Macaca mulatta: one gene and its partners. The protein of the gene in region 1 binds, or shares a complex with, the protein of each later gene. Links are inferred from orthologs where the notes say so. Each region holds a gene or a part of one and is shown in the gene's direction. Other genes may lie near its edges.

Region 1 (3,500 bases):
TTTCACATAGTCATTTCTCATGTTCTGTTGGAGACCCCCAAAAAATTCATTCCACACTGTCATCCCTTTGTCCTAACCAGAACAACTCGATCGTGTCGAAGAAGGCATGAACCATATCAACCAAGACATGAAGGAGGCTGAGAAAAATTTAAAAGATTTAGGGAAATGCTGTGGCCTTTTCATATGTCCTTGTAACAAGTAGGTACTGGGTACCAGCTCTAATCTGTGGCGTCCAGTTTTCTTTCTTTCTTTTTTTTTTTTTTCTTTTTTAATGTCAAAGTGAATGTCTGAAGTTTTGTCTTTTTTTTCTTTGTCCTTTTCCATCTGCTTCATTCTGTGGGGATAAAATACTTGTGTTTAATCAGAACAACTGGAACGCATTGAGGAAGGGATGGACCAAATCAATAAGGACATGAAAGAAGCAGAAAAGAATTTGACGGACCTAGGAAAATTCTGCGGGCTTTGTGTGTGTCCCTGTAACAAGTAGGTGCTGCCTGCCTGCCTGAAGCTTTGGTTTCCCAAGGCCCATCTCCAAGCCTTGACAAGCTCATTCCTGCCAAGCTCATAGGCAGGATGAGCATGTGGCATGCAGAACAGATCAATACCGTCTCCAATGCATTCATCTCATAGCATAGATGATATTAGCAGGAGTTACTGTTGATGCATTAAAAATCAGGCATACTACAGTGAAAGCTTCACTGTCAGCAACTTTTATTGATGAACGTTTCAACATTTTCCGGAAAGTGTACCTTGAGACAGAGGCTAGCCTCAAGAAAGAGGCACCCAGGGAACTTCCTTTTCCCCAACCCCAAGAGTCAAAATTGCAGGTTTAGAAAAGGCTGTGGGTAAGTTTGGAAGATGAGAAACACATATGTGAAGGTTTGATTTTTTCCAAAATAAAAGAGACAGGTAATTTGGCCCAGGGAAGCATTCTATAAATTAGAGAATATGACAGAGATTCTCCCTTTCTACTGCCCACCAGTTGCCAAATTTGGTCGATAGATGCTGCTGCTGTACCCAACACAGAGGCAATGAGCTCTTCAGCAAGAAGTGTTCAAGCCTTACTCAAATTGGACCCATCCCTCCCAAATTTTTCTCCTTGGAAGATCTACCCGTACACTGGCTGAAATGTTGAAATGTGTAGATTTTGCATGCACAACATCACAAAACATTCAACTGTTCTCAAGGTTCTGCAACGCTTTTTTGGAATGTAGCAGAAATGTGACATGTGGTTATAAAGGTTTGCAACGGAAGGAACCTAATACTGAGGGTTCTGGAAGATTGTCTCATTTGACTAGTGGTGGAAAAAGAAATGCATGAGTGGATTGTCCAACATGCATTTGGAAAATTAGACTCCTTATCCAATCTCCCTCACCCCTCCCACATCCCCCTTTTAAAAGAAGACTTTTTCCTAAAAGCTCTCCTGATCCTAGCTTTTAGAATAGAAATTGACGTCATTTTTAGCAGATTATATGACCATTCACATCCTTTAAACTTTGAGGCTGATTTAAAATATCCCACTTCCTGTTTAGGAGGGGGAGGGGCTCAAATTGCAAAAAAAAAAAAAATAATAATTTGCTTTTTAAAGAATGATCTACAGTAAAGCCTGATTAACTGGAATCTAGCTAACTGGAAACCTCAGCTGCATGCTCTTGCTCCCTTCCATTTTTAGCAAAAAAGAAACAAAGAGAAAACCTCACATCAGAAATGTAAAATGGTTTTACTTCCAGGGTAGTTCGAATTGTCTTGCTTAGTCTCCATCCTCCTGCAACTTCCACATCTATGACGACCAAACAATAAGAGTTGATCTTCACAGAAAAGGCCATCAAGCAATCAATATAAATGATAACCAAGGAAAGATTCAATCAGGTCTTCTACCTTAAGACTTTCAGGCAGGAAAGTGGCTCAGAAGTCTAGCAAAGATATTCACTCATCACCCATGAAACAAAACTTTCCTCCTTGGCCCCACTGTTCATTAAGAAAGTCATATAATTCATCAAAACAAAACAAAACAAAAACCTCATTACCAAGCATTCCAGTTAGTCAAGATTTGACTGTATATTCCTTTCCGTGGCAACTTGCCCCCAGGTGAGATTTCCATCCATTTCGTGATAAATTCCAACAGACACATTTTCCCCCCTTCATCAACTGTGTGTGAAGAAAGGGTGGAGGCAGGTTCCCCTGGGATGGATTCTAATGTTCTAATGAAATGATGGCTCCTACGAATTCCACATTTGAGTGATCACTAATTTCCTTAATGCACAAGAGACCCTAAACTAAGCTTCAAAGCTTGACTGAGGTGTTCCCTATTGTGTGTAAATAATGCTTTAAAAACCATGTGTCACAACGCAGTGGCTGGTGGTGCCCTGGACTCTCTGAGGGCTTCGCCCTGTCTCGGCATGTTTCAAGGGACTATGGTAGATGTACGGCAGTGATGTGAGTCTATGTGCAGCATTGTGGGTGCAGTGGTTTGCCTTCTTTCAGAAACGCATACTTCCCACTCATTTGACTTTGCCAAAGATGGTATAGCAGACATTTGACATAGCAGAAAACATCACGAAGTCCATATAACTTTTTTTCATCTGAGGAGGGAGGAGATGGGGAGTTGGAAAAATAACAATTAAAAAAGCCAGACTCTAAGCCCTATTAAATTTAGTTTGGGGATCTTGTTTCATTGAATGGGTCCATGGCCCTTTGGTGCAATAAATTTTGACTGCACTAAGGCCTGCGGCTTGATTGTGGGAGTTGCTGAAATTCTATTGGTACAATTTTCCAGTTTGTCTCTAGGGTTGCTTGGTCCCCAGTCTGCAAATATTAGAGCCAGTTTTAATAGATGGCTGTGGTCCTCTGGTGAAAGAAGAAAATAAAATGTTAAATTCTGGTGTCTTACACAAGAAAATGTGAAAATGGGACCAAAGAATGTCTCTTGTTTTTGGACTAAAAAGCATGTGGTTTCTACTATGTAAAGAACCTAAAAACATCTTTGATTGCCTTTAATTACAACACCCACCAAAATATGCTGCACATGTTTCTATTGGGCACAATAGGTATGCCTGGATTTGTAAGTTTTTCTCCAAGGCAGCTCAGTGCAATACAGCCCATGGAGACCATACCAGCATTAAACCACTCTCCTCCATTACAACACCAGGATAGTTTAAAGTAGCAGTTTGTAAGCACTCTCCACCCTGCCCCTCAGCCCAGCAAAGAAGCTACCGAACCTGCGTTTCAAATCCTCATGAAGGCTATTACTGTCCTGCTAGTGCCTTTTTCGAGAATGGTCAACTTCTGGAGTAGTTTGGCTTAAATGAGAATGCTTCACTTTTTACTCATGCCTGTAGCTGGTGCATGAAGAAGACATAGAGGGGTTTCCCTTTTTGGTGCTAGATGGCTTGTTCTCTCTTCTATTTTCCTGCATTCATTTCACTATGCTTCTTTTACTTTTTGTCTCTGTGGACAAAGGTTTGTACATCAACTCTGGATGTATGGTGACTGTTTGGAAG
Region 2 (4,123 bases), on another chromosome or scaffold:
CACCTTCCAGGGATGTAGTAAGCACCCCCACCCCAGGTTCAAAGGGCCTCGCCTAAAATGCCTCCTGTACCCTTGAGGCTTGCTTTGATCCCCTGCACTCCACCAGAGCGACAGCTCCCCTGGTCCCATCTTCTCTGACAAGCTGGGTGGGAGTGTACACAGCCTCTGGGTGTGCTTAGAGGGCCTAATGGAGATAGGGATAATCTTCCATGTTATCCACATCAAGCCATTTAACGAATATGGATTTAGTATCTACATATGCAATGTATTTGGGGTCCAGAGAGAGGAGGGCAACTGTCCAAGGTCACACCTGCGAGGCGAATACGCATGTAAAGCAGCACCTTGTAAACTGTACCCACTGTGCCTACTACTAAAGAAAAAAAAATGAGAGAGAAAAAAGCCTTTTGGTCCCTGTGCCTGGGACCAAAGCCTGAGCCCTCTCCTGCAGTTGGGGTCGCTGACCCAAGCCTGGGGCAAAGCTAGGTCTTGGCCAGTCAGCAGCCACCACGTGAAGCAGCCCCTGCCCCCATCAGCCCCGGCTGCCTTGTGCCCTCCTCCTCGGGGTCTTCAGCTCACCCCACCTCAGTCGGGCCTGCTCCAGCTGTTAAGTACCCCTGGTCTGAACCTCAATCGTGAGGCGGGGCACCCCCCTCCTCACACCCTGTAGACACTCCCCGGTCCTCCACCCCCTGGACTTGTTTCGGCGGGAAGAGCCTGCCTCATCTTTTCTTCCCACCCTCCTACCCAGTGGCCTGGGATCGCAGGCTTCCTCTGAGACATCCACCAGCGGGGTGATGGGTTGAGACCAACCTCCTCCACTCCCCTCCACCCTAGCAGCAGGGTCCCCGCTCTCGATATTGCCCCAGCGCCTGTACTGACCCTCTCTGATTTCCCAACCCCAGCCCATTCCCAGTGCTGAAGGCGGGTCGCTAGGTGCTGGGACCTGGGCGCGGGGCGAGACCTTGGGCTGTGTGGGATGCAGGCTGGCTTATTGGGTTCACGATTCAGGGAGTGGTCTGGGGGTTAGGTGCGGGGCCAGGCTGCTGTGTGCCCTAAGGGGCAGGTGGCAAGAGGTTTGGGGGCGGCTGTGGAAGGCTGTGCTCAGACAGGGCGGGGTGACGGTGGGTTTAGGGAAGCCGCAGCAACCCGCCTGGTGGTCCCGTGAGTGCCCAGAGAGCTGCCGGGGCACGGTGGCGCCAGACCCGCAGTCCCGCCCGGCACGACCCCAGTCCCGCAGCGCCCCGCCCCCGCGGCCCCGCTCCCGACGCGTCGCCCGCGGCGCCCCGCCCCCGCCCGCAGTGCCCGGATGCGGGTGACGCGCGGCCGCCATCTTTCCGTCCCGGGCAGCCAGCGCCAGTCGGAGCCAGCGCGAGTCGCCGCCGCCATCACTGCTGCTGCCAAGTCCTCCACCCGCTGCCCCCGCCATGTGAGTCGGCCGCCCGCCACCCTCACCGCGCTTCCCTGCACCGGCCGCCGCCCTTGGCAACCGGCCGTGGGGAGTGCCCGGGGTCTCTCCCGCGTTCCCCGCGCCCCGGGGCCAGGCCCAAGCCGGTGACTGCGCGCGGGCGGCCGAGAAGCCCAGCGTCTCGGGCTGGCCGGCTCGAGCGATGGCCGCGGGAAGGAGCGGACCCTGTGTCCTCCTGCCGCGCCCCGCCCCTGTCACCGCGGCCGCCTGTCTTTTCGGGTCGACCCCGATCACATCTGTGAGGTCGCCCTCATTTGACAGGCGGGGAAACTGAGGCCGGGGGGAGGGGAGGCCTCGCTCAAGGTCACGCAGCTCATCGGTGGCGAGGCTGGACCTGGACCAGGGCTTCCATCGGGTGGCCTTCCTCCCGAAAAGGAGGACTGGAGGGACGAGGATGGACAGGTGGATGGGCGGAGCCCTGGCTGCAGGGCCGGGAGACTGCAGGCCCTGGGTCTTAATCCGTCCCTGCTCCTCAGGTCTGCTACCGCTGCCACGGCCCCCCCTGCCGCCCCGGCTGGGGAGGGTGGCCCCCCTGCACCCCCTCCAAACCTCACCAGTAACAGGAGACTGCAGCAGACCCAGGCCCAGGTGGATGAGGTGAGTGTGGGGGGAGTCAAAAGCAGTAGAAAGGACCCTGGGGGTTGGCGTTTAGGTGTAGGGGCCCATGTTGGTTTGGGAGTGATGACAGTTCACGCCTGTGGGTTTGCGGACAAAGATACTTTGCCCCATCCGTGTCTCCCTGTCAGCACGCACTTGGAAGGGTGCTGGGGGTGTTAATCAGCTTTGCTAGCCTGGGGTGTGCCAGCCTAGGCAGGTGTGCTCTGGTGATGGACAGAGCGCCTGAGGCGCCATAGAGGGAGGGTGTTGCTATGATATCTGAGATGTCACCAGCAATCCCCTGATGTGTGCTCCTTGCATGTCCCCAGGTGTGCTAGGCATGTACTGTGTGTGTCCTTGGCATGTTAACCTGGCAGCATCAGGGTGCATGTTCCATGTGTGGCACGGTGGGCACATGTTTGAGGATTGCCCTCATGAGGTGGGCCTTGGCACACCCCCTTGCCCCGTGGGCCCTTCTCCCAGGTGGTGGACATCATGAGGGTGAACGTGGACAAGGTCCTGGAGCGGGACCAGAAGCTGTCGGAGCTGGACGACCGTGCAGATGCACTCCAGGCAGGGGCCTCCCAGTTTGAAACAAGTGCAGCCAAGCTCAAGCGCAAATACTGGTGGAAAAACCTCAAGGTAAGGATGGGGACAGGAAGGAGGACTGGCAGGTGAATGGGGTATCATAGTTAGTCTCGCTGATCCTCTCCTCTCACCCCCAGATGATGATCATCTTGGGAGTGATTTGCGCCATCATCCTCATCATCATCATAGGTGAGTAGGCTGGGAATGGCCGGGGCCCTTTCCCTGGAGAGGTTTCCCCAGTGGATTCTGGGTTTTGAAGGTCATTAACCTAGTTTTTACTCTTCAGCCAAAAACACATATAGCTGCTAATGGCAATTCTGATTCACCTAGAGCCAAAAACTTTGATGTTATTTAGCCTGCATTTTGCCTGGTTCTTGGCAGTTTTGTTAACATTTAGAAATATAAAAGTTGGTGTATCCATTGAGGACCCTTTGGGCCTAAGAGCCCAATCTGAGAGCCCTGGAATTGAGGAGTGGGAGAAAGGAAAGGCCCAGGGGCTTGAGACATGACCAGGAAGCCAACCACCCCATTATTTGAGAGCTTGTGGCCTCAGGCTCAGAGGATTAGGGTATGTGGCCTCAAGGCCATACCATGGAACTGAAGGGACCTCATAACCTACCTGTCTAACCCCTTGCTTTGTAGATGGAGAAACTGAGTCCAAGAGAGGGGTAGGGGTGCCAGCCAGCTGGGGAGTGGGGAGGATTGGAGCAGGGCCAGGCCTGACACACTGCTTTCTTTCTTTCTCCCTCTCTCTCTCCCCTCTCCCTCTTCCTCATCTTCTTCCCCTCTCTCCACAGTTTACTTCAGCACTTAAATCCCTGAGGAGTCTGCCCTGCCTAAAGAAGGGCCTCTCCCCCCACCCTCAGCCGTTCCTCCACCTCTCAGCCATATCTTTCAGCCCCCCTTCCCTGGATCCGTGCGTGTGTGTGTCCGTGTGTGTGTCCCCCTGTAAATAGCCAGCTGTTATTTATACATATATAATATTATATATATTTGGTCTGTTTGTAGTTTTATTACTAGAAGATTTTTCTGGTTGTCCTTAACACCCCTTCCTGAGGTTCCCTTCACCTCCTCTCTCTTGCCTGCCTTCCCTTTCCCTTTCTTCCTGACTAGCCCCAAGTCCCTTCATTTGCATCTGCTATGCAATAGTCCCTCTCCTCTCCTTCTTCTTCCCTCAGATTTAGCTGATCCTTCCCCCCACCCTGGCCTTCCTTTCCTCCTCCCTCTCCCGGTCATGCTCCCTCTGCCCCGCCCTCAAAAAAGACCACAAAAAACAAAAAGCATCTGTCCAGGCTTCCTTAGGTGCATCTTGTTTGCATCCAATGGGAGGCTCTGAGACTGGCCCCACTTGGTCCTAAGAATCCCAAGGTCTTTGGGAGTGTCCAGCATGTTAAGTAGCGTATCATTACATACTGCCATCCCTTTCCATTTCTTTTTGTTCCATCACTCTTCTCTCAACTGGTGTTTCTTTTT
Region 3 (4,273 bases), on another chromosome or scaffold:
GGGTTTGGGGAATTGAGATAGCTATTTATTTCCCTACCTGAGATGCCAAGATAATCTTCTCAGTAAAATAAAGAACCCAATTAGGTGAGTTCTCATTTGTAGCTATTGATCAAGTTTACACAAAATGCTAGGGTTTCTAAGTAAAACAAATAAGAGGTTCAAAGGCCTTTAAACGAGGTTGAGGGAGTGAGAAAGAGAAATAGTTCTCTGCGTTTTGAAAGCCTTTCACCTGTGGAGCAGATAATGGACGGGCCCCTCTCCCAGGTGGGCTCCGCTCCCGCCCCTTGCCTGGCGCGCGGTCCCTTCCCCCACCCGCTGAGCCTTCCTGTTTGGTATCTCGGTATTACCAAGCTATAAATTGCCTGAGAGCTTAGAGACAATCAGGTCACCACCGCCCTCACAAGGGAAAAGCTTCTTACTTCCGAGCAGAACGGTTCAGCTGGGAAGAGAGGAAGCAGGGAGAGATTTGTGCTTTAGTCGTCACTGCTCTGGTAAGGGGTCGAGAGAGATGGGGGAGGGAGGTGGCAAAAAATAAAAATAAAAAGCATCCCCAGCAATGCCGCACTTGACCCAAGTCTACAAACTTATTGGTCGCTGCAATGGAAACTCCCAGTGCACTCTCCACTGCCTGGCAGCCGCCGCTCATGGGTGGAGTCGCGTTCCCGGCCCCACCTATGGGACGGAGCTGCTTCTCCTGCATCTTCGCAACACCACACCCTTCGCGGGAAGTCTCCAGGCTTCCAGCAAAGCTCAGCTTATCCCGCCCCCGCTTCCAACCCGGAACCCCAGAAGAATAGCATGATGAACCTCCAGCAGCCCGGCGGGCCACCTCCCCGCGGCTCAGTTTGAAGACACTTGTGCAGAACCCTTTCATGTCCCCACCCTGCCCAGCTTTCACAACTCCGCCGGGTTAAATGGCCAAAGACAAACTTCTGCCTCTTCTATCCCGGGTCCCAGCTTTTCAAAAACCTACAGCTGGCAAACCCACACACGTCGAAACTCCTAGGTCGCTGTTGCAGTCTGGGCATGCTCAGTATCAGGGCAGGTTTTGATTGAAAGTAAAAAAAAAAAAAAAAAAAAAAAAAAGCTTTGTATTATGCTCGCTCTCTTTCTCCTGTGCATATGGCTTGCTGAACAGGTTTTGGGGCATTCTTGAGTCTACCCAGAGGTTTTATCGGATGCCCTTGATTGTGTCTCCTTGGCATCTGTTCCCCTCTTACTTCACTCCCTCCCCCAACCCGCCTCCACCCCGCTTCCCAGGTCCCTGTCCGCTGTGGGGATGGAGGGACACTAACAGAACTGGGATGGGAGATGTTGGCTGAGCGGATCCACCTATTATTAGTGTGCTGGGATTGGCTTCTTGGCGCAGCGTAGCCGAGGTGGAGCCAATCAGGATGCTAGGGCTGGGAGATGATGGGCGGCCGCCTCCTCACTGGAGGGATTCCTGGAGAAGCTGCAGTGTGGGGATGCTTTAGAACGAGTACTGCCCCCAGTGTCTTTCCACCTCCTCCTGCAGCAGCGGCAGCGGCAGCAGCAGTTAGCAGCGGCAACTTGAGGCTGCACCCCGGGCAAGCCCCCAGGGTGGTGCTCAGCCGAGAGGGGGGCTCGGCGCCCCGAAGGGGTGTGTGTAGGGTGGGGGCGACCAGCTGGGACCAGCTGGTGGCCCTGGAAAACCTCCCACACACCCACACCCACACACCCCTTTTGTGTTGCAGGCTGCCCCTCCAAGAGCGGAGGCAGCGAGAGCACGCGTGTGCCTCGCGCCGGTCCACGCCGGGAGAGCACTGGGGACTGAGACCCGGCACCACCTCCCGGTCCGCCCTCCAGGTAAGGAAGCGGGACTGGCGGCGCGGCCACCTCGGCGGTGCCTATCTGCTCGAATCCATCCCAAAGATTTTCTTCTCGATACACTTGGATTTTAGTGGTGGGAGTCTGAGACCTAGGGAGGGATCCCCGGGTGGCCTATTGTGAGAAATATGAGACCACATGTGCATCTCCTGGAAAAGCACTTTGCACAGCGCCCGTGATTTAGAGCTTGGAGTTGATATTGGGCATCCCCCATCTTCTTGCTTCCTCTTTCCTTCTCTTGTTCTCTCTCCTCTGTCCCCCGCCCCCAATCTCAATCTTTTCTCTCTTTCTCTCCCACACCTCCCCTCTCGCCCTCCTCCCACCCTAAGCACGCACAGGGTTTCTTTCTCCTCCTGGAGAGGATTGCCTTTCTTAGAGGAAAGAGGGGGAGTGAAGAAAGGAGAAAGATTTCTTTCTGTTGGGGAGAGGGATATGGGGGTGGGTGGGTTGGGGCGTAAACAAGATAGAATACAATCTCTGCGAAAATCAGAGCACAGAAAGCAATTAAACTGAATAAGGGGAGTAGACAAGCCGACCAGCTTGGGCTGTCAGAGAGGGGAAGCGTCAAGTTTGACTTGATTTCCTCCTTGCAAGAGACTATGTCTCTCACTTGATTCGTTCAAATGGAACAAAAATAAACCGACAATCCAACCCACTTTCAACTGCTTAATTGCTGTTGCTTTTGAGTGCCAACCATCTGACTTTTCCTGTTTCCATCTGTCCTGTGGGACTGACAATTTGGTATTGCACATCAGTGTTAATATCTGAACTTTGAAAGGTTTCTTGAGTAAGAAAAAAAACACAATTAAAAATAGATTATTACTTTCCTGAGGTTTCTTGGTATGGTCTGTTGTTGGGGGATCAAAAAATGTAAAGTTTCAAAACATTTGCAAGGGACAACAGTTTTATAGGGAGGCTTGGATTTCTACTTTGAGAAAGCTAATCTTCTAGTTAGCTTTGTGTACATGTTGATGTTCACTTTCTCCAGTATTAACCCTTTGGTGAAATAAAGCAACTGTTTAACTTTTGTGTGGAAGCTACATTTGTGTATGAATTTTCACTTTATTCTACCTTTCTACTATCTATTTGAATTTTATTGTCTGGATACCAAACTTATGCCTGGCTTTATTTTCTTTTAATAGGAGGATATTTAATGGATGTAAACATGATGTTTGTACAATTTCAGCACTCCCTTTAGAAGGCACATGGAGGCTCAGCTGGACAAGAATCCTCCTGTATTGGAACAAAGTTTAGAAAGTAATGCTAGAAAGATAGCCTAAATTTTAAAAATCCTGAAGGGGAAAACATTTTTGTAACGTCTTGTTAAAAGAAAGAAAAATATATCAAAACAGCAACATGCCCCTGGCTGCCTGCATAATAGGTCAAGTAAATGGTACTTGTTGGACAGAGCCTTTACAGCAGCTTCAGCAGTCTCTAATTCCATCATTGGGGATATAAGCTTTATTTTCTTAGTATTCATCAGGGACAGAGAAGCGATAGTACTGTCAGATGGAAGGAGGTATAGAGAAGTGCCTCGTTTGATGTAATAGGAAAGCATTCCAAGTGGGTCTTACCTGAACACAGAAAAATCAGCAGATGTTAGTATACAAAACACTTATTTTTATGTATAAGGGGAAATGCAGTCTTACTTTTTTTTTCTAGAAGTCCACTTGATATAAGAAAAGGGAATCTTCTATCCTAACTCTGCCTGACCTTCTACACTAATTTGTATCTCAGAGAGTATTTTTTCACTATGTATCTTTAATGTATAAGTTTACACACCAACTTAGAGAAGAGCTGGATTCATTTGCCATCAGCGTAATGTGTACTATTTCCAAACCATTTTGCATTTGAGGCAATGATCCCTCCGACCTAAGCAGAATTACCAAGTCAGGAAAAAGGATTCTCTTTCTAGGGCTTTGACATTTAAATGACTTAAAAAAAATACTGTCTCTGTTGAAAGCTAACTCTGGTTTTTAGAGGTGCCACCTTTTGGTTACAAGGACAAAGGAACAATCACTTAATTACCTCATGTGTATGTACAACTGAATTAACAAGTTTAGACACGAAAAGATGTACAAAAAGGAAGCCAGCTGACTTCATGTGAGAAAAATAAGATTTTGTTGTCTCATTTCTCCACTGTCTTAGGAATATGTGAAAATTTAGGCTTGGTTTGTGACATTTATTTTCATGACTCTTTACAAATGTTAATTATAGAAATAACATCTAAAAAGATGGATATCAGTAGTTTTTCACATACTTCTAAAAAATTCAATATCTATATATTGGAAATCAGAACTAATTCCAATATATTGTGAGTGGATTGTGGAGAGACCTTAAATGATACATTATAGGAAATTCTTGTTCTGTTATCCGACAAAACAGTCTAATGTCACAATTTTATACAGTCTTTATTTTTTTCTCC
Region 4 (4,297 bases), on another chromosome or scaffold:
GAGGTGGGGTTTCATCACATTGGCCAGGCTGATCTTGAACTCCTGACCTTAGGTAATCCACCCACCTCAGCCTCCCAAAGTGCTGGGATTACAAGCGTGAGCCACTCAGAGACACTGTCTTGAAAAATTGTTTTTAAAATGAAGCTCTAAATGTTTTCATTTTAACTCCTGTGTCTCATGGGGAGAAGTAAGTGACAAATGTGGTAGTTAACCCTGGGCCATCTGGATGGGAAGCTTTAGATGTGAGTCTCCAATAGAGAGAGTTCTCCTTCACTTTGCAGAGAAGTTCTAAGCAGATCTTGTTCTGTTTGATATTTCCTGGCCTTTTTCCAACATGAGCCCTTTCCCAAAGTTAGCAGGAATAGGACCCTTGAGTGCTGGAGCACTGGGAGCCATGGGAATCCATTCCTCTTTACATATTTCCCCTTTTGATACTTTTATTTCATTGTCCGTATAGCGATTTCATTTCAGAAAGCCAGTCTGGATCTTTCAGGGAAGGGTCTTTGGCCAAGGCTCAATGGTCTGATTTAGACTTAAAATTTCCCTTCATTCCACTCAAACCACATGCTGAAGGGTGAGGTTGGCCCATGCCATCCTAGGTGGGCTGTCAATTCCTTTATTGCTCTGTCCAAACATTTGTGTTGTAGGACAGGTTATGGATCATGAAATCATGGTGGTTCACAGCTTGAGTATTCTTATTGTTGCATTTTAACCTCTTGCTTCCTATCTTTAGGAAAAATGAGGTCATTATACTATCATTTTTACAGATGGGACTTGGAAACATTAAATGACTTTTCTAGGGTTGTAAGGGGGCTGTATCTGGCTTCCAGAAGATTGTCAAGTGCTTATTCAACTAAGCCATCCTGCCCCTTAGAAATTTCCGTTTCTTACGCCTCAGCTTTTCTGCCCCGAATTCTGAGAAACTCCAGGTATAGGTCAGAAATCTGCAGCAATGGGGGTGAGGACAGGTCAGCTGGGCAAAATTTTGAGGGGAAAAACCACTTAGGGAGCCCCGTACACTGGGGCCAAACTCTTGTCTGAGCAGAGAGGAGCAATGCAGGACTGGGGGCGTGTGGGAGACAGGGGCTGCGAAGTTATAGCTCCTTTGCTCTGAGAATGAGCGACGGTATTAGAACAAGTGTGTGGTAGGTAAGCTGTCACCGACTAGACTGTGTGATGTCGAGAAGTCCCGTCCCCCACCCCTCCGGACTCCCCCTTCTCTGCTCTAACCATCCAATTACTTAACTTCTCTGCCTAGGGGTTCGCTTCCCGCCCATCTCGTCCTCCACCGCATCTTAGCGCTGTCCGTGGTGCTGACCGCCAATCCCCTGGTTGCCGTTTCGACCAGCTGGGATCTCTGGTGCGCCCAACCTCCCCTCCCGGCCTCCCACCTTTCTTTCTCCAGGCACCGCACACATAAATCACGGGTGGGAGGCAGGCTTGGTTCCCGCTCGGTTCCCCCTGCACTGGGAAGCTGCCGCCCCGGTTGCCTTGCTCACACAGGGCTTTGCAGTAGTGGTGGCAGCCGCGGCAGAAACCGGCTCTGGGGAAGCAATTGATTCGTCTACTGCCAGCAGCCCGGAGTTGCCTACGCGGACTGGAAAGGAAGGCAGAAGGGAAAGAGAGAAAGAGAGAGAGAGGGAGAGAGAGAGAGAGAGAGAGAGAGAGAGAGAGAGAGGCGTACAGAGCGAAAACCTTCATCCATGTGGAGGACAGTCTGAGGGAGCCACTGTCCCTTGTCCACTGACTCACTGGCTGGTCCGAGTTTTCTCCGCTTCTGGCAGTGGTATTTCTTTTTGTCTTGGTCCTGCATGATTTAGGGGTAGTTGATGTGTCTGTGTGTCTGCGTGTGTGCACTGGTGCTTTGATTTTATTTTGGGAAGAGTAGGAGACTCAAATGAACAATTTTCTTTCAGGCACCTCCGCTGAGCTTTTGAACCAAGTCATTGGGACTTAGCGTCTTCCTACCCGGCAGGGAAGGGAGGAGTTGGCAAGAATTTGGTTCACCCTTTCCCCCTGCAATCCTCCCGCGTCGCGGTAAGTGATATTCTCCTTGGTTGTGCAGATGGGCTAGGGGTATTAGAATCCCAATTGTGATGTGTGTGCATGAGCTGGTGGGGTAAAGGGTAGTTGGGAGGAGAAGGGTATCGAGGAACGACTATGCTTATTTGCCTACATTCTGCAGTGTTTTATCACCTAAGCGGCATCCCAAAGCCAAATGAGATTTTGGCTTAGTGCCCAGGGAGGGGGTAAAATGTGCTCATGTTGTAGGCAATGCGATCAAGATTGTGGCTTCTGCCCAGTTTGCCCTCTCCTTTGCAGCAGAACCTGGTGAAAGTAGCCGGCAGTTCTCTGAAAGAGTTAACCCTTTGTGGGGGTGGCTAGTCTGGCATGGAGGAACTCTGGGTATTCTGACTTAGCAAGTGAGTGCTTATCCCTGGAGGGGAGGGGGTCACCTGAGACTGGAAGGGTAACTCTTGCCTGAGCACACTGGGTAAGATTTGCACAGGACAGAGCTTAGATTGTACCCAATTCCAGGAAGAGCTGAATAATTTAATTGTGATGGTTTTTGCGAGGTTGGCTGTTCCTGCTTTCCTGAGATGGGAGACGTGGGAGCCAGGAAAGGGCCACACTCTGCTTAGGATGAGTGGTCAGACTGGCCAGAAGGGAGCAGCCACTGCCTGCAGAGGAGATGATATTTTATTTTCACAGGTGGCGTAACCTGTAAGTGATTGTATGGGGAAGCATCCTGGCACTAGCTTGGGAGATTCTATCCTTGAGTTCGTCTCACAAGGAAGGAGGGGAAAAAAGCTTGTTCAAATTCTGGGGAAAGATTCCAGGTTCCAGCTTCAGTTTTGTTCCAGGGTAGACCATCCCCCTGCACTAGTTTCTTTTTCCAAGATCCTGATGGGGAAAGGCTGCACCAACCTGTTAGTGAGTGGGAAGTGGAAGTACCTTGAAACTGAATCCAAAAGCTCACATTTAATTTTGAAATGCCTTTGATGCTAATCTGTGACCCATCAAAAGGGGATTTCACCTTGCTTTCTGCTTTGATTACATCTACTTTTCTGGAAATGAATGCCCTTATTTTCAGCATCTTTGCTATTATCTCAGGGGCCAACTCAGTGTTCTGCACCCCCAAGGATTTCCTTTTTAGATTCTTGCTCTTGGAGGTGGGAGGAATAAAACAACAGTCAGAGATTGGCAAGCCTGAAATATAAGCAGGGTTCACTCACTCCTTTTTTCTCTAGCCCCATAGCCAAGAAGAGATGCTGAAATCCCAGAGCATGTGCCTGCTCAGGCAGGACATATGAGGCAGAAGGGGAGGGTTGTCCGGTGGTTAGTGCCAAAGATTTGGTACTCAAAATCCCTAACTTCTCTTCCTAGTTTCCCTTGCTGGGTGACCTTGAGGAGGAAGTTGCCTTAGATTCCTCACTGGGAAGCCTTGAATGTGAATAATGAATGTATGGAAATTTTGTTCGAATAAAGAACCACAGATCTGGCTATGGGTGATATTTAAAGTATTGAAATTTGGTACTAATTGATCAGAATGGCTAGGGTCCTGGAATAGGGGATCTTAGGGGAGCCCTGCTGTACTCAGTGTTAATCTTTTAATTGCTAGATTATGGAGAGGTTTGGGGGATCTTAGGGGGCTGTCAAGAGAGCCACGGAGGCCTCAGGGGAGCCTCCCCATTTAATTTTAATATTTTCATATTTTTATTTTATTTTAATGTTTTAATAGTTTTAACAACTGGTTTAGTCAATCGGTACATGCCAGCCCAGCTGGGATAGCTAAGACTTGGGTGCCCAGATGTGGACACTTCCCAAATATCTCTCCACTGCCTCACTTCCTTAGGGTTGGCCAAGATCCAAGAGGCCGCCCTCCCTCCTCCCCCGTCACATTTGAAGTGGTGCATTGTTGTGCACCAGGGAGAGGGAAACAGAAGCTTCTGGAAAGAGCTTTGGACTTGGATCAGGAAACCTGGGTTCCAGTCCCAGCTGTCTCCCCTTTCTGGGCCTTGGTTTCCCTGTCTATGCCATGGGGCAGTCTGTCTGGGTGGCCCTAAGTCCCCTTCCAGTTCTGGGGTTCTCTGACTCTGAGATAGGTATGTGTGTGAGTGTGAGTGACTGCACACGCCCACATTTCTAGGAACGGTTAGCACTGTGCTTGAGAATTTATCCTGTGTCGGGGAGAGGCTCTGTTTGGGGTGAATGGGGATAGGGGAGTCTCTTGTGAGAACTTTGCCAGATTTCTAGAATCCTGAGCTCAGCTGGAAAGGGGTCTGCTTTATTTATG
Region 5 (3,500 bases), on another chromosome or scaffold:
CCTGCCTGAAATTTCTGTTGACTTACAAAATCAAATTGGAATTTTTTTTAACCAAAGGAATTTTAAGGAGGGTTGTTTTTTATTGAGGTGAAATTACCATAACATACAACTAAACATTTTAAAGTGTATATAATTGAGTGTTATTTAGTATATTCGTAATATTTTGCAACTGTTACCTCTTTCCATTTTCAAAACTTTTTCATCACCCTAGAACACTTCATACCCATTTAGTAATCATTCACTATTTCCCCTTCCTCCCATTTCCTTGTTACCTCTAATCAGCTCTCTCTTTCTGTGGATTTGCCTGTTCTGGATATGTCATATAAAAGGAATCATACAGTATGTGGCCTTTGGCATCTGCCTTCTTTCACTTAGCACAAAGTTTTTCGCATTCATTTAAGTTGTAACGCGTTGTACCATGTTCCTTTTTATGGTTGAGTAATATTCCATTGTATGTGTATACACAATGTGTTGAGCCATTCATTTGTTAATGAGTCTTTGAGTTGTTTACATCTTTCAGCAATTATGAATAATGCTGTTATAAACATTCACAGGAAAGATTTTGTTTAGACATATGCTTTCATTGATCTTGAATATATACCTAGGAGTAGCATTGCTAGGTCATAGTAACTGTATGTTTAATTTTACGAGGAACTGCCAAATTGTTTTCTACAATAGCCACACCATTTTATTTTCCCACCAGCAATGTCCAAGAGTTCCTGTTTCTCCACATCCTTGCCAACACTTGTTTTCCATTTTGATTATAACCATCCTACTGAGCTCTTTGGGTTTTCATTTGCCTTTCTCTAATGATTAGTGATGGTAAGCATCTTTTCATGTGCTTATTGGCCATTTATATGTCTTTAAAGAAATGTCTGTTCAGGCTTTGCCCATTTTTTAATTGGGTTGTTTTTGAGTTGTGAGAGTTTTTTATGTGTTCTAGATATTAAATCTTTCTTTAGTAGACATGTGATTTGCAAATACTTTCTCCCATTCTGTGGCTTGTCTTTTACGTTCTTCAAAATGTTCTTTTTTAATTTTTATCTTTTTTTTTTTTTGAGACAAGAGTCTTGCTCTGTCACCCAGGCTGGAGTGCAGTGGTGCAGTCTCAGCTCAGTGCAGCCTCCAAGCCCCGGGTTCAAGTGATTCTCCTGCCTCAGCCCCCAGAGTAGCTGGAATTACAGGCACCCACCGCCTTGCCCAGCTAATTTTTTGTATTTTTAGTAGAGACAGTGGTTCACCATGTTGGTCAGGCTGGTCTCGAACTCCTGACTTCAGGTGATCCACCTGCTTGGGGCTCCCAAAGTGCTGGGAATATAGGCATGAGCCACCGCACCTGGCCTGATAATGTTCTTTGATGCACAAAAGTTTTTAATTTTTATGAAGTCCAGTGTATCTGTTTTTCCTTTTGTTGTTCTTGATTTCAGTATCAAATCTAAGAATCCACAGTCAAATCCAAAGTAATGAAGATTTACCCTTATGTTTTCTTCTAAGAGTTTTATGGCTTTAGCTCTTACACTTAGATTATTGATCCCTTTTGAGTTACTTTTTGTATATAGGGTGAGGTAGGGATTCAACTTCATTCTTTTGCATGTTGGCTCTTCAGTTGGCCCGGCACTGTTTATTGAAAAAACTGTTGGATGGCCTTCGCACTCTTGTCAAAAATCAATTGGCCATAAATGTTTTCTAGTTTTCATTGTCCAAGTCATTCGCCTTTTGGTTAAATTTATTCCTAGGTATTTTATTCTGTTGGATGCTATTGTAAACACAATTGTTTCCTTAATTTCCACCTCAGATTATTTGTTGCTGGTGTATAGAAACACAACTGATTGCTATGTGTTGTTGTACCCTGCAACTTTGCTGTATTTGTTAGCTCTAGCAGTTTGTTGTGGATTCTTTGGTATTTTTTATATAAAGAGAATCATCTGCAAATACAGATAGGTTTATTCTTTTTTTCCAATTTGGATGCCTTTTCTTTCTCTTGACTAATTGTTCTGTTCAGAGCTTCCAGTACAGTATTGAGTGGCAGTGTGAAAGTGAGCATCGTTGTCTCGTTCCTGATCTTAGGGGGGAAGTCTTTCACCATTGAGCATGATATTAGTTGTGGATTTTCCCATAAATGCCCTTTATCATATTAAAGAAATTCCCTTCTATCCTTAATATGCTGATTGTTTTGATGATGAAAGAGTGAGCTCATTTTTTTTAAAGCGAAAGTTTGGCTCAAAGTAATAAAGTGCTGACCTGAAAGAACAATGTGCCCATAGATTGTCTTTGAAGTCTCTGTGCCTCTATTTTTTTTGGGACGGAGTCTCACTCTGTCGCCCAGGTCGAAGTGCAATGGCGCAATCTCACCCACTGCAACCTCCGCCCTCTGGGTTCAAGTGAGTCTCCTGCCTCAGCCTCCTGAATAGTTGGGATTACAAGCACCCAGCACCACGCCCGGCTAATTTTCTTATACTCTTAGTACTGAGACAGGGTTTCGCCGTGTTGGCCAGGTTGGTCTCGAACTCCTGACCACAGGTGATCCACCCGTCTCGGCCTCCCAGAGTGCTGGGATTACAGGCGTGAGCCACCACACGTGGCCCTATTCCTCCATTCTTTGTGCATTACTTGTTGTGATCACACTCATCTAGGTGGTGGACATAATGCGAGTTAATGTGGACAAGGTTCTGGAAAGAGACCAGAAGCTCTCTGAGTTAGACGACCGTGCAGATGCACTGCAGGCAGGCGCTTCTCAATTTGAAACGAGTGCAGCCAAGTTGAAGAGGAAATATTGGTGGAAGAATTGCAAGGTAATTATCTTTTAACTCACCTTTACATTTAAGCCCCCTTCTCCATTCTCAGAGAATTAACAGGCTACAGATAATGGACTTTCATGACTCTGGGAGGTGGGTTTGATTTCCTCCACATGGAAATGTGGGTCCACTGTGAATCTGAAACACTGACTACATACCCTTTCCTAGCCTCACCCTGGGAATCCTCTATGTGTTGTGGCTGATCTTCAGAAGATGCACGTAGAACAAGAATATCCAAAATCACTCACAGTCATCAGCCCCTCCCAACCCTCTACCCCAGCAGGGCCCCAAACACATAGGAGAGGGCTGGAATTGGTTAGTTTTCGTGTAGTTCTGTGAATGGTTCCAAGGTCAAGGGAAAGAAATGCTAGAAAGCCACAGTGTGCCCAACAGAAGAGTAGAAAGCAGCCCGCCCAGGAGCACAAGCCAAAGCAGATTTTATACAGTCAGTGAGTCAGCGTGCTGCGACCAGATCCAGATGTATCCTGTCCTCTGCCTTGTTTACAAGTGACACTTTGAGACACAGGGCAAGCTGAGCAGCCTTTCCATATGTGGAAAACTTGTATACACACACAAATGCCTAGCTAGAGGCCACACATCATTTGAACATCTTTTAAAAAGCAGGGAAGTTACCTTCAGGCCCTAATTGAGAACATTTAATTTAGGCTTTAGAAATTATGAATTCTTCCAGACTGTAAGCACCTG
Region 6 (4,252 bases), on another chromosome or scaffold:
CCAACTACTCAATTTTCTGGGGCAGCAGGAGGTGTGTTTGAATCTGAACTTTTTTTTTTTTTTTTTTTTTTTTTGAGACGGAGTCTCGCTGTGTCTCCCAGGCTGGAGTGCAGTGGCGTGATCTCGGCTCACTGCAAGCTCCGCCTCCCGGGTTCACGCCATTCTCCTGCCTCAGCCTCCCAAGTAGCTGAGACTACAGGCGCCCGCCACCACGCCCGGCTAGTTTTTTGTATTTTTAGTAGAGACGGGGTTTCACCATGTTAGCCAGGATAGTCTCAATCTCCTGACCTCGTGATCCACCCGCCTCGGCCTCCCAAAGTGCTGGGATTACAGGCTTGAGCCACCGCGCCCGGCCTAACTTTTTTTTTTTTTGGAGACAGAGTCTTGCTATGCTGCCCAAGGCGGGACTTGAACCGGACTCAAACTCCTGGGCCCAAGCGATCCTCCCGCCTCCGCCTCCCGAGTAGCTGGGATTACAGGCACCAGACACCGCGCCCATCTTCGAATCTGAATTTTTTAACACGCTGTCTTCAGCTTTTTTTTTTTTCCTAAGTCTCACTCTGTCACCCAGGCTGAAGTGCAGTGGCACGATCTCGGCCCACTGCAACCTCCACCTCCTCGGTTCAAGCGATTCTCCTCCCTCAGACTCCCGAGTAGCTGGGATTACGGGCGTGAGCCACCACACCCGGCTAATATTTGTATTTTAGTAGAGCGGGGTTTCGCCATGTTGGCCGGGCTGGTCTCAAACTCATGACCTCAGGTGAGCCGCCCGCCTCGGCCTCCCAAAGTGCTGGGATTACAGGCGTGAGCCACCACGCCCGGCCCTCTTCATCTATTTTTTATGAAACCAGAGTTAGAGAACCTCTTAAGTTTTTGTTTCCAGTCTCTCAACTACTTCACCGGTCTCCCCAAAGCAGTTCCAGTACTGGCCGGTAGAGGGAGCAAGAAAAAGCAGAACGGTTTCCTTTTCCCACAAACGCTTTTCCAAGTGAAGAAACGGGCGAGACCAGCCGTGGGGCGGGACTAAGCTCTGCGCAGAACTGTCAAACCCGGGCTTGGGCCCCGAGTTGTCACGTGAGTGTCCGCGGTCAGCTGACTCTGCCGGAGTACTTCAGGGAGGGCGCGGGGTGGCCCCCCTAACAACGCGAGCCGAGGGCTGCTGCTGATTGGTGGAGGAGCATCCAGCGGCAACACCGTGGGGCGGGGCCTCGGCGGTGAGTATTGCCATTGCCTTCCGCAGGGTCACGTGGGAGGTGAGGTACAGAGCGCTGAGGAGAAAGTGGGGCGTCGTTGTCCTGTGTGTGCGCATGCGTTGAGGTCTCGGGACGCCGATTGGGGGGTCCCGAGTCACGGGCGGCTTGCGGCGGCTGGTGGGGGCGTGGCCGGCGGAGCGGGCGCCGCGCTACGAGGCCTCTGGTTGGCCAGCGCGAGTCACGTGATTCCGGGCCGCAGGCGCCGCGCGCCGGTGCGACGTCAACGCAGCCGGGCGACTTCTCCCGATCTGTGTTCCGCGGCCCGGCCGCGGCTGAGTCTTCCCAGGGCCAGTGTCGGGCGCTTTGCTGAGTCCTTTTGTGGCCGCCATGGACAATTCCGGGAAAGAAGCGGAGGCGATGGCGCTGTTGGCCGAGGCGGAGCGCAAAGTGAAGAACTCGCAGTCCTTCTTCTCTGGCCTCTTTGGGTGAGAACCGGGCTGAGGGGTCGGCCGGGACCTAGGCTGAGAGGACGAAGGAGTCACGGTCGGAGGTGGCGGGTTAGGGCACGCAGAGCTCGGGCCGAGGGGACGGAGAGGAACCTGGAATGAGGTGACTTGGCCTGAAGCGGCAGAGGCTACACAGGCTGAGGGCCAAGAGCCTGGGCCGGGGCAACACGGTTTGAGGAGAGACGGTCTGACATGGCGGAAGGGATTTGGGCTGAGGACACACGGACAGAGGCGACCCTGTCTTGAGGCGAGGAAGGGGACCCAGGCCGAAGACAGGCCAGCGGGAGGGGGAGAACCTGAACCGAGGGAATACGTCCTGAAGCCGTGGAGGGGACCGGCTTGGGGGCAGGGAGGGAGTCCGCGAGATAAGCCAGGTCCGGAGGCTTTTCAGAGCTCTAGGGGAATGTGAAGGCTCTCGGGCGGCAGTGATGGGGCCTGGGGCTGAGGACGCCTGCCCGAGGGACTGACCTTTTCATCCCCCGGGGCAGTGGATTTGCGTGGGCCCTGGGCAGTGAGGGTGAAGGCTGAAGGGGGCTGACACCTTTGGAGGGGCTCAGGGCTTAGATGATCCTAGGAGCAGTGAGCTGCGTCTGAAGTGTGGGGGGTGCCTGGGGTGAGTACGGCCCTGGTTAGCAGTGACTAGTTTAAGGACAGCTGAGCGGAGGAACCGGGATGATGGAGTCAAGACTGTGGCGGTCTCAGCCCTTTGGGAGGCCGAGGTGAGTAGATCATCTGAGGCCGGGAGTTCGAGACCAGCCTGACCAACATGGTGAAACCCCGTCTCTACTAAAAATACAAAAATTAGCTGGGCCTGGTGGCGGGTGCCTGTAATCCCAGCTACTCGGGAGGCTGGGGCAGGAGAATCACTTGAACCCAGGAGGCGGAGGTTGCAGTGAGCCGAGATCACGCCTCTGCACTGCACTACAGCCTGGCAACTGAGTGGGACTCCGTTTCAAAAAAAAAAAAAAAAAAGGGAAAGAAAAAAACCTGAGGAGGCCTGGGTTGAGGCCGGAGACTCCTGGGTGGGGGAACGCGTGGTGGTGGCTTGGCCAAGGAGATGGAGGGATAACAGGGAGAGACGGGGACTGAGAGAATCAAAACTGGGGATCAAATTCCTGCTGTGTGATCCTCGAGTAATGGGGATGACAGGAACATGCTGAGAAGAGGGATGGGAAAAGGCTTGGGAGACAGAACTAACGCATGTGACATGGCATAAAACTCACGGTAGCTCCTAAAAGCTGACACCACCATCCTGTGATAATTTTAGTGGCTTAAAAGTATTAAGAGCCCAGGTTTGAAATGTGGCTCTGCCACTTACTTCATGACTTTGGGTAAATGGTTTAGTCTCCCTGTTAAAGGAGATCACAAATCTAACCTGCCTCCCATTTGCTGTGAGTGTTAGAATTGAGCCTGGCGTGGAGTTACATCTCTGAGAGTGTTAGCTATTGTTAATGTGACTTCCCAGAAGGAAACAGGTTTGGAGTGTGCAGAGAGCTGATGGGGTTCAAGGTGGGCGCCCGAGAGGAGAGGTCTGGGAGGGGTCAGGAGAGGGAGAGACAGAAACATGGGTGTGCTAAGAGGAGCTGAAAGGGAGCAGTAAAGGGAGCCACGAAGACTTAGTAGGGTTGAGAGGAGCATGAGGCTCTGGGCAGAGGAAGTAAAGGGAGTTTGGCAGGGGGTGGTGGTGTGTGGGGGGGTGGGATCTGTGCTGATGGGGGGACCCGAAAAGGTCAAGGGGAGGCTGTGGAAACTGAGGGGAGGACTGGGAAAGGACTAGTGGACCTGTAGAGAGAACGGTCTGTGGTGGCCCCTCAGAAGCAGAGCCTGGGGAAGTTGGTGGGACTGGGAGTGTCTGCAGAAGGCTGGAGAAGGGGGTTTGGGAGGAGGGCCTGGGGATGGGAAGAGACTGGGGTAGGAGCCTGGCAGAAGCTGGTAAGACACAAAGGGGAGGGATCTTTCCAAGAGAGGAAGGAACAGGAAAAGGGCTCTGGGCCACGCCCCTTGTTTGAGGTTGGATAATGTTTAGCAAAAGAACTTGAAGAACATGATGGTGAATTGCCTGGTGTGGAGAAACATCTGGGGCTGATGGACTGTATTGATTAGGTGAAAAATATTTTATTTTAGAGGCTGCGAGGAGACAGAGGGTGTGTGTGTGTTTTCTTTTTCTTCACAAGGGGAGAAGTTCAGGTGCTGTGTTTGGGGGTGGGGCCACGAGCTGGATTTTTGGTGATAGTTTTCCTAGGTGGCTCTGGGTGTCTGGTCCCTTTGGCCCAGGGATTAGTGGGCTGTTGGACTGTGTGCTTGGAGGGAGCAGCTAAGTCAGCCCCAAGGCACTTGCTACCTGGTTGGGAAGGCAGGATGCACAGCAAACGCTAGTAAAGTGGAATTACCTACTGTAAGGAAGGGCTCGATTATATCATTCCTGTGACTCTGAGCTCAGAGGAAGCAGTGTGAACCAGGGGGAAGCTCATGGTGAGGAGTGAGCTAGGTCCCAAGGAACCACAGGACTTGCTGGGGAGTGGGGCCAGGGAGGGTGCTCTAGGCAGCAGGGAT

Evidence for each region.
Region 2: the proteins of SNAP25 (region 1) and VAMP2 are in contact, whole or in part, in a crystal structure (PDB 1SFC), measured with the Rattus norvegicus proteins. The link is inferred for Macaca mulatta from reciprocal best matches to the Homo sapiens genes SNAP25 and VAMP2. Residues at the interface, in NP_112253.1 of Rattus norvegicus: Gly131, Gly132, Phe133, Ile134, Arg135, Arg136, Asn139, Leu150, Glu151, Ser154, Ile157, Gly158, Leu160, Arg161, Ala164, Leu165, Met167, Gly168, Ile171, Asp172, Gln174, Asn175, Ile178, Asp179, Ile181, Met182, Ala185, Asp186, Asn188, Lys189; in NP_036795.1 of Rattus norvegicus: Asn25, Thr27, Ser28, Asn29, Arg30, Arg31, Leu32, Thr35, Gln38, Val39, Glu41, Val42, Ile45, Met46, Asn49, Lys52, Val53, Glu55, Arg56, Lys59, Leu60, Glu62, Leu63, Arg66, Ala69, Leu70, Gly73, Ala74, Gln76, Phe77.
Region 3: the proteins of SNAP25 (region 1) and SYT1 are in contact, whole or in part, in a crystal structure (PDB 5KJ8), measured with the Rattus norvegicus proteins. The link is inferred for Macaca mulatta from reciprocal best matches to the Homo sapiens genes SNAP25 and SYT1. Residues at the interface, in NP_112253.1 of Rattus norvegicus: Lys40, Asp41, Ile44, Leu47, Val48, Asp51, Glu52, Glu55, Gln56, Arg59; in NP_001028852.2 of Rattus norvegicus: Cys277, Arg281, Lys288, Val292, Leu294, Glu295, Asn336, Tyr338, Asn340, Arg398, Arg399, Pro400, Ala402, Trp404.
Region 4: the proteins of SNAP25 (region 1) and RPH3A are in contact, whole or in part, in a crystal structure (PDB 5LOW), measured with the Rattus norvegicus proteins. The link is inferred for Macaca mulatta from reciprocal best matches to the Homo sapiens genes SNAP25 and RPH3A. Residues at the interface, in NP_112253.1 of Rattus norvegicus: Glu38, Asp41, Ile44, Arg45, Leu47, Val48, Met49, Asp51, Glu52, Glu55; in NP_598202.2 of Rattus norvegicus: His617, Ser618, Ala621, Ile648, Ser649, Ala650, Lys651, Gly652, Leu655, Tyr659, Leu662, Lys663, Lys665.
Region 5: the proteins of SNAP25 (region 1) and VAMP3 are in contact, whole or in part, in a crystal structure (PDB 5KJ8), measured with the Rattus norvegicus proteins. The link is inferred for Macaca mulatta from reciprocal best matches to the Homo sapiens genes SNAP25 and VAMP3. Residues at the interface, in NP_112253.1 of Rattus norvegicus: Asp147, Leu150, Glu151, Val153, Ser154, Ile157, Leu160, Arg161, Ala164, Leu165, Met167, Gly168, Ile171, Asp172, Gln174, Asn175, Ile178, Asp179, Ile181, Met182, Ala185, Asp186, Asn188, Lys189, Ile192, Ala195, Asn196, Ala199, Thr200, Met202; in NP_476438.1 of Rattus norvegicus: Ser15, Arg18, Leu19, Gln21, Thr22, Gln25, Val26, Glu28, Val29, Ile32, Met33, Asn36, Lys39, Val40, Glu42, Arg43, Lys46, Leu47, Glu49, Leu50, Arg53, Ala56, Leu57, Gly60, Ala61, Gln63, Phe64, Ser67, Leu71, Lys74.
Region 6: the proteins of SNAP25 (region 1) and NAPA are in contact, whole or in part, in a cryo-EM structure (PDB 6MDM), measured with the Rattus norvegicus proteins. The link is inferred for Macaca mulatta from reciprocal best matches to the Homo sapiens genes SNAP25 and NAPA. Residues at the interface, in NP_112253.1 of Rattus norvegicus: Glu37, Lys40, Asp41, Ile44, Arg45, Leu47, Asp51, Glu52, Glu55, Gln56, Arg59, Glu62, Gln152, Asn159, Met163, Asp166, Glu170, Thr173; in NP_542152.1 of Rattus norvegicus: Lys122, Glu155, Glu156, Ser157, Asn158, Ser159, Ser160, Asn162, Pro196, Leu197, Leu198, Tyr200, Ser201, Lys203, Asp204, Ala234, Phe235, Ser236, Arg239, Ser268, Ile269, Ser270.

Annotation. Positions count from the first base shown.
Region 1 is NC_133415.1:73,737,030-73,740,529, reverse strand, and holds part of SNAP25 (synaptosomal-associated protein 25), read left to right. Parts: intron 1-80; coding exon of another isoform or gene 81-198; intron 199-365; coding exon 366-483; intron 484-3,500.
Region 2 is NC_133421.1:9,677,680-9,681,802, reverse strand, and holds the start of VAMP2 (vesicle-associated membrane protein 2), read left to right. Parts: upstream 1-1,323; 5' UTR 1,324-1,424; coding exon 1,425-1,426; exon of another isoform or gene 1,427-1,859; coding exon of another isoform or gene 1,860-1,867; intron 1,868-1,941; coding exon 1,942-2,062; intron 2,063-2,545; coding exon 2,546-2,704; intron 2,705-2,787; coding exon 2,788-2,839; intron 2,840-3,447; coding exon 3,448-3,464; 3' UTR 3,465-4,123. UniProt on the Homo sapiens protein: Involved in the targeting and/or fusion of transport vesicles to their target membrane. Major SNARE protein of synaptic vesicles which mediates fusion of synaptic vesicles to release neurotransmitters.
Region 3 is NC_133416.1:86,055,938-86,060,210, forward strand, and holds the start of SYT1 (synaptotagmin-1), read left to right. Parts: upstream 1-1,473; 5' UTR 1,474-1,827; intron 1,828-4,273. UniProt on the Homo sapiens protein: Calcium sensor that participates in triggering neurotransmitter release at the synapse. May have a regulatory role in the membrane interactions during trafficking of synaptic vesicles at the active zone of the synapse.
Region 4 is NC_133416.1:120,035,655-120,039,951, forward strand, and holds the start of RPH3A (rabphilin-3A), read left to right. Parts: upstream 1-1,497; 5' UTR 1,498-1,786; intron 1,787-1,916; 5' UTR 1,917-2,037; intron 2,038-4,297. UniProt on the Homo sapiens protein: Plays an essential role in docking and fusion steps of regulated exocytosis.
Region 5 is NC_133406.1:233,015,685-233,019,184, reverse strand, and holds part of VAMP3 (vesicle-associated membrane protein 3), read left to right. Parts: intron 1-2,633; coding exon 2,634-2,792; intron 2,793-3,500. UniProt on the Homo sapiens protein: SNARE involved in vesicular transport from the late endosomes to the trans-Golgi network.
Region 6 is NC_133424.1:60,010,145-60,014,396, reverse strand, and holds the start of NAPA (alpha-soluble NSF attachment protein), read left to right. Parts: upstream 1-1,452; 5' UTR 1,453-1,580; coding exon 1,581-1,678; intron 1,679-4,252. UniProt on the Homo sapiens protein: Required for vesicular transport between the endoplasmic reticulum and the Golgi apparatus. Together with GNA12 promotes CDH5 localization to plasma membrane.